2 linked regions of the Sus scrofa genome follow. The protein of the gene in region 1 interacts with the protein of each later gene in a biochemical or structural test. Links are inferred from orthologs where the notes say so. Each region holds a gene or a part of one and is shown on either strand. Other genes may lie near its edges.

Region 1 (3,522 bases):
AAATTAGCGGAGCCCTTTCCAGATAGCAGATGGGAAGTTTGGTTCAAATATGCATCTGAAATCTTAAAAATATTCATACTATGTAAGCCTCAGGAATTTCAGTTTTAAGAATCTGTTCTAAGGAAAAAAACAAGACACGCACACGTACATACAGACTCAGACAGACAGATGCTTGAGGATGCTCATTCCAGGAGTTCCCTGGTAGCACAGTGGGTTAAGTATCTGGCATTGTCACCGTTGTGGCTTGGGTCACAGCTGTGGTGTGGATTCTATCCCTGGCTCAGGAACTTCCGTATGCCACAGGCACAGCCAAAAAAGAAAAGGAAAAAAAGAAAAAAAAAAAAGCTCATTCCAGTAAAATTCATATCGTGAACAACTTGAACAGAATAAACATCTGCAAAAGGTGAACCAAAGTCTGGTAGCCCCGAGCAACAGACAGTGAAGAAGAGCAGGTTCTATCCCCGGCCTTGCTCAGTGGGTTAAGGATCCGGCGTTGCTGTGAGCTGTGGTGTAGGTTGCAGATGTGGCTCAGATCTGGCATTGCTGTGGCTCTGGTGTAGGCCGGCAGCTGTAGGTCCGATTTGACCCCTAGCCTGGGAACCTCCATATGCTGCGGGTGGGGCCCTAAAAAAGAAGAAAGAGGAGCACAGACATCACTCCTTCCCAGACCAGGTAGGACAGGGCTTCTGCCTGCAGGGAGTGTCCCAGGAGGAGAAACCTGTGCAGACAGCACGATAACGTCGTTCTGCTGTCGTGGGGAACCAGACCCCCACCAATATCCACAGAAAACTCAAAGTCTGGGCCCAAGTCCCAAAGGTGGCTTTCTTGGGGTGTTGGATCATGGGCAATTGCATCTCCTCTAGATTACTTGGTAGTCTTCAAAGTTTCTACAAAGAGCAGCCAACCAGAAAGCCTCCATAAGCATTACTTCCGAAGACATAAAGGAACTCCCAAGACAGAACTTGCCCCCTAGGAAACGGCAGGCCAGGTCCAGTCCGGCTCATGTTGGCTGTCTGCCTCCATAGGACCAGAAGATCTACATCTACAGCCTCAAGGGCATGTGCCCGTTGAACATGCCCCAGCAGGCTTTGGACACCCCAGCCATCGTCACCTGCTTCCTGGCAGTGCCTGTTATAAAAAAGGTGAGGTCACGGGGAGGTGAGGTCATGGGGAAGTGGGGGCACTGCATCTGAGTTTCCCTTCCCTTGGGTTGGTGAGGAGGGCAGCAAGGCCATGCCCACCTGGAGCAGCAAGCCTGGGTCACTGTCAGTCTCACAGAGACAGGACACCTGGACCATCAGTGCCTTTGGGGTTTCTGAGAGCCTAAGGACCAGTAAAACAAAGGGCTAGGTGGAAAGCCTACCTTCAGCACACGAAACCACAGCCCCAGTTCATGGTGAGATGCTTTTCTGGTGCAGATGGTGTCAGGGGACAGTTGCTTGTGTGCCCTTCCCCTTCTGAGAGCAGGGGCCTAGCTCAGCACTTCTCACAGCCACTGAGTCACCAGGCCCTGGCAGGCCCCTAGCTCCCCTCCCACTCTGGTTCTGCCTCCCCAGACCAGTCTCCATCAGTCCCAGACCTCCATCCCTCTTTGTCCAATATGGCCCTGAAGATGCATATCCTCAGCTTTCAGACCCAGCCTGCAGAGCCGGCCAGGTCTCCCCCCTCCACAACCCCCTCTCACTCCTCTCCTCCCAGCACCGCACTCTGAGCAGGCCTTTCCCTTTAGGACTGACCTAGTGGCTCATACCTCTTCCTATTCAGGTCTGAAGAACAAGGGCCGTGACCCGGACTCTGAGAAGCTGCCCCACGCTCCGCCCCAACCCCCCAGGCCTCTGGACCCCCTCTGTGGGCCCTGAGGTGCCGTTTTTACAGCAGGCACACTCTCCACTCGAGAGCTCCTTGTTGGTGTGGCTTTGTTAAAACACGTTGGCTGTCATCATCCAATGCCAGTTTTCCCACCTGCAAAATGGGCGTAAAAGATTGTGAGGAGGATCTCTGGGCATAACGTACCCAAAGCTCTGGGTGTCATCATCCAATGCCAGTTTTCCCACCTGCAAAATGGGCGTAAAAGATTGTGAGGAGGATCTCTGGGCATAACGTACCCAAAGCTCTGGGCTGGTGCACTGGTTGAACATGAGCATTATTACTCTTTCCTTACGGTCATGAAATACACGTGCTCTCCTCTCCACCCCTCTACAGTTTCATTTCTTTAAAAAAAAGTTTGAAATCAACCTTGAGCCATTTATGACTGTGGCCCCATGGGCGAGGCTGGGCAGCTCAGGACCCCGTCTGCACCAGAGCGCAGGACATGACACAAAGCGTTATTTAAGCTCAGGGCTGCCCAGAGCCCCGAGCCAGGGCACCGCCACCCGCCCGCAAGACCAGAGGGAATAAAGCTGGCTCTGTGCGGAGCCTCCCTGCCAGGGTGCCTGCCCCTCAGAGGCTGTGCTGCCCCGTGGCTTCGGACAGCAGACCCCTGCATTCTTGCACGCGCACGTCCACACCCAGCCGGGACGTGGGGCTCACTGCCTGGCTGGGGCCCAGAGCAGGGACTCAGATAGAGGCCTTGCTCCTGTTTGCTTTGGCTGTTTTCTTTCCTCGAAACCTGAAGATGGATTTGGATAAACGTTCTTAGGCCTCATTGACCTTGCTGTTGAGCTAGAGGCTGGTTCACTCATCACCTGGGACAGCCCAGCTTCCCAGCTCCAACAAGGGGGCTTTCTGTCCTCACCCTCGCTGGCCCAGGGCCTGGGGCCCCGCTCGGTCCCAACTCTGGCTTTGTTCTCCTAAACTCTTCCCATCCCACCCCAGCCCCACCCAGGCGTCTGGGCTGCTCTCCATCCCCAGCTCCACACAGATGCTCCAGGGATGCCTGGGCTGGGCCCAGCATTCAGCACAGTCTTTGCAATGTTGGCCTCTGCGTGGGGACCTCTGGTGGCCGTAAAAGAGCACATGCTTCATGGGGTTGTGAGGGCATCCCGAGGACCCCCATCAGTGTCAGCTGAACCACAGGCATTTCAGAGATGTAAACGGGGAATGTGGCACAGTGGCCAAGACGCGCCTCCGCGGAAAAGCTGAGTTGGAAGCAATTTCTTTAAGAATGAATACTTGAGCAGAAAACTAGGGAGAGTCAGAGGTGGAGGGGGCCTTGCCCTTCCCTATAGCAGACCAGCATTGGGGCAGTGGTGGGTACCAGACCTTGGCCTGCTCTCATGGGGCACCCACCTTCTGGGGACAGCAAACAGGAGACTAAGAGCAGATCCATGGGGCACCCACAATTGCTGTCACCTTAAGGAACAGAGTTCACGGGAGGGAAGGACGCACATCCTGCCTCTGAAGGAGGCCCTGGTGACCGAAAAGGCAGTCCCCCACCCCCTGCCCCCTGCAACTGACATTACAAGAAGCCCAGGCTGACCAAAGTCTGGCCTTGTGGTCTAGGCCACATGCCCCCTCCCTCAGGGGCCAAGGGCCTTCTTCTCACTCTGGCTCAGGGCAGGGAGGATGGGTGTGGCTCTTCAG
Region 2 (4,111 bases), on another chromosome or scaffold:
CCCAGCCCGGCCTGGGGACCCTCAGGGGGACGTGTTACCCATCGGTGCCTTCCGCGGGGCCAGAGCCAAACCCCGGGGCGGGGGGCGGGGCCCGGGCGGCGGCCCCACCTCCAGGCCGTGGTCGCGCGAGTGCACCGCGCTGATCTCCACGGCGTGCAGCTGCTCCAGCGTCAGCTGCCGCGCGTACAGGTGCGCCACGACGCGGTGCGGGCCCTCGGTCAGGTGTGAGCTTAAGTAGTCTGCCTCCGTGAGGCGCAGGCAGCCCAGGCCCAGGCCCAGCACCCGGTTCAGTCCGTCCTCCAATGACCAGAAGCGCCGGTCCACGAAGCCCCCGGGAAAGCCCAGCAGCCCGTCGAAACGCATCTGCATCTGCAAGGGAGCGTCAGGGTCACGGGCGCGAGTCCGAGTGGCGCCCGGTCCCCGCCCGCCTGCCCGCGTCCTCACCAGCACCGAGAAGCGCATAGGGATGCGGCCGAAGAGCTGCCCGGGGTTTGCAGCGTACAGCATGGCGTGGCACGAATGGCTCCAGCCCGGCCCAAGACGCATCGCCTCCACCCGGCTGATCTGCTTCAGCTCCGGGACTGCCACGGTCGACATCTTGGCACTACCCACCGCCGCCCAGACACCGCCCCTTAAGTGCATGCGCGGGCCCGCCCCGCCGCACCCAACCAATCCGCGGGAAGCCGCGCCCCTGGGCCCCGCTCCTCCGCCAATCGCTGACCCGCGCCGGGGCCGAGCCCATCGCGACGCTCAGAGGCGTCGTTGCGAAGCGGGAGGGGCGTGCGCAAAGGGGAAGGCGGTTCGCGCCCAGCTGTCACCCAACAGCCGCGCACCCCGAACCGGCACCGCCCACGATCCTAGAAAACCACAAGGCCCAAGATGCAACGCGACAACCGAGCCCGCACGAGCCGAGCGCAGATTCGGATTCGGGTTCCCAGACGCGCGGCGCCTGCGGGGTTGGGGCGCTACCTGCAGGCGGTGCAGCCTGTGGAGTCTGGACTCAAACTGCGCGTCTAGAAGAGGGCAGGGAAAGCCCTAGCAATTATACTGCCCTCCGCCTTCCCCCGCGCCTCTTCGGGAGCACAGCCGCGCCGGCTTCCCACCGTCAGCTCCAGGCCGGGTTGGCGCCTGTCCCTGGGCGTGCGGGCGCCCCCTGCCTGCCCCAGGGGGCTCAGCCGAGCCTTGCGGCCAGGAGGCACAATGCCAGCCCATGGTTCTGCTGCCGGTTAAACACAGCCTGGCAGAGTCCAGCTACCCCCCGAGTCCAGCCCAGCCCTGAACTGGGGGTGGGCGGTGAGGAACTCGGGGACTTCCTGAATCCAGCCTGCTGGGGCAGAAGTGATTTAGATTCCGGGCAGGGAGCTTCCCAGCGCAGCGCCCAAATACCCGTGTCAGGGGCCATATAGGCCAGGTACTCCCCCCTTTAGGAACCTGGGGCTCAGATGAACGGGACTTGCCTGAGGGCACCCAGCAGTTTGTGAGAGCCAGGATCCTACCCTCGAATTCCACCTCTCCTACCCAGTGTCCGCGCAGAAAACCGTGCAGCTTCTGGGGACGAGGGCCTGAGTCACTTACCAGCGTCTGTACCGGAGAAGGCAGGCACTACGGCTCCGGAGCATCAGAAACAGCAGCTGCGGCAGAGCAGCAGGCTCCCCCGGGTTCTGTGGTGCTACTCACTCCATCAGGTAGCCCAAGCTCCATTTTCCCCCCGCGTGGTCCTCTGCCAGGGTTGGGGCTGCCGCAGCAGGGAGGCAGCCGCAGCTGGCAGTGGGAGGCCAGACTCTAGGGAGACTAAAGGTGTTTGAAGGGAAGGACCCAGGCATTAATAAATAAAGGTGTTTGAAGGCTCGCCTCAGGCATTAATAAAGGAGGTGGGCCCGTGGTGGGAGACCCAGTGCAGCCAATGCAAAAACCTGTGTGACTGAAAGGCCTTTTCCACACCGAGACCGTGGCAGACCGGGGACCCCCGAGGTTGGCAGGCCTTCCCTGGGGCAGGGCCAGGCCAGCTAGGAAGGCTGGCTCCACCCTTGAGTGCCTGAGTCAGAGGGCACTGCTGGCTGGCCGTGGTTCGGGCAGTGCTGCAGTGGGCGTGCTGGGGCACCAGCCTCTCCCCATGCAGAGGCTGCTTGCTGGTCAGGGGAGCTCAGGCTGAGCAGAGGGCCCCAGCTGGGCTCCAGCGTCCTGGCAGCCAAACCTGCCCTCCAATCCATTTCCCCCGAGGACAGCTGGAGAAAGTCGCTCCCTTGCTTAGCAGCCTCCAATTGCTCCTAGGGCAAAACTGGGCCCCCACAAAGTGTCTGCACCCCACACCCCAGCTCTGACACTTCAGCCACTCCGTGGACACAGTAGACCCACTCCTGCCTTTGCACTTGCTGAGCCAGCTGCCTGGGGTGCTCTTCCAGGCCCAGCTCCTTGGCATCCTTTAGGGCTCAGCTGAAACGTATCACAGAAGCCCTCCCCAAACACAGGCTAAATCAGCACCACCTCGTTAGCCACCGACCCCCTTCCTAACTGTAATCACATGTGGTTAGACCTGAATCACTTGCGTAGCATCTCACTGACTAGAACGCAGGCTCCCAGGGGCCTGGCGCCTTCTGCTTTCTGCTGGCACAGCAGGCACTCAGTTCACGGCGGCAAGAGGAACTAGCGACGGCTACGGCCAAAGCAATTGCATAGCTGGAGGCCTGGGCTCTTCCACCTGCTCAGGAAACAGAGCCAAGTCCCAAGGGTCCCTCCCCTTTGCTCCAACCCGACAATCAGCATAATGCCGACCCCAAGAATAACAAGCAGCAGCACTCACGCCCTCCCGGAAGTCCTATGTCACATCACACATGAGGGAACAGTGGCTGCAGCCACAAGCAGGCACTTGCGCTGCTCTGAGTGTGTCAGAGCTGCCACTCAGCTGTCCTGCCTCCCGAGAAACAACCCAGTCCTGTGGAGCTGTGCATGGAGGGAAAAGCGAATAGGATATTGCTGCATGATTTTATTACTATAAATATACAGTAAAAACGAACAAAAACTAGCCAATCAGAGTACATCAAATGGTAGCACGTGTTAAGTCCAAGACAGGCCAGTCTGCACCCCGCCCTTCAGTTACTGGCCCCAAAACCAATGGTGAGAGGCGGGGGGTGTTGGCCAGTGAGAGGAGAGGGGTGAGGAGAGGGAGACGGTCATGTGCGTGTGTGGCATCTGTGCACCCACGAGCACACGGCGGGCAGGACGGGAGGCAGGGCGCCTGCAGTGTGGCCTCTGTTCATAGGCTCAACTGGAGAGAGAAGGAGGCGCCCATTCCGAGCACCCCACTCATCAGAGCCTCAGGCTGTGTGGTCGGCTGCCCAGCACCATCCTTCCCACCTGCTAGGAAAGCGCTGGCACGGGGAGTGCAGACCCGCCGCCGCCAGGCTAAGGTCCCACTGGGGCAGCTCTCATCCAGAGGCACCAGGGCCAAGCACGCTGTCTGCCTTTCTGTTGCCCGCAAGTTTGTCTTTAAGAGAAGGCGAGGTCACCTCACATGGGGCCCTCGTCCCCAGGGACATCCCGCCACAGGAGCCCCAGACGGGAACAAATCAAAGCAAATTCTCAGTGCCATCTACGGCAGAGGGAGCAGAGAAGCCACCAGCGCCTTCCAGAGCAGGTGATGGCGTGCCGCTCGCCGAGCAGAGCCCCGGCCCAGAGGGTCTGGTGCCGTGGGCAAAGCTGCCGCTGGGAAGGGCTCTCAGGCACCACACCGCCCATGCCCAGACCCAAACCTGGCCGAGCCTCGCCAAGCTGTGCAGGGGGAGGGCAGGGGCAGTCTCCTTCCCGGCCTGAGACTCAGACCCCACCTCCTCTCCTTCCAGGGGCCCCGCGCGTCCCCGTGAAGGCAGCACCTCACCGCCCAGGAACTCCTCTTCTCCAGCGTGTCCCTCAGTTCCCGGGCATCGGCCGCCACGGCTCGGGGGCTGGGTGAGGCTGCACACGGGTGCCCGGCCCCGGGGCATTGGGAAGGACCCAGAGCTCAGCGCCCGGGACAGAAAGCCACTGTCCTTCATCTTGTACCATTTACAAATACATGGACTGTAGAAAAAGGGTCGTCAGAGGGGACAGTCAACTGTGCTCTTCGGTCAAGGGT

The links. The genes of interacting proteins can lie anywhere in the genome.
Region 2: the proteins of LRRK1 (region 1) and NUDT16L1 form a complex in vitro, tested with the Homo sapiens proteins (2 studies listed by BioGRID and IntAct, with this or other methods). The link is inferred for Sus scrofa from reciprocal best matches to the Homo sapiens genes LRRK1 and NUDT16L1.

Annotation. Positions count from the first base shown.
Region 1 is NC_010443.5:139,616,124-139,619,645, forward strand, and holds part of LRRK1 (leucine-rich repeat serine/threonine-protein kinase 1), read left to right. Parts: intron 1-1,025; coding exon 1,026-1,142; intron 1,143-1,764; coding exon of another isoform or gene 1,765-1,770; exon of another isoform or gene 1,771-2,057; intron 2,058-3,522.
Region 2 is NC_010445.4:37,691,835-37,695,945, forward strand, and holds the start of NUDT16L1 (protein syndesmos), read right to left. Parts: upstream 2,820-4,111; 5' UTR 643-2,819; coding exon 445-642; intron 370-444; coding exon 109-369; exon of another isoform or gene 39-108; intron 1-38. UniProt on the Homo sapiens protein: Key regulator of TP53BP1 required to stabilize TP53BP1 and regulate its recruitment to chromatin.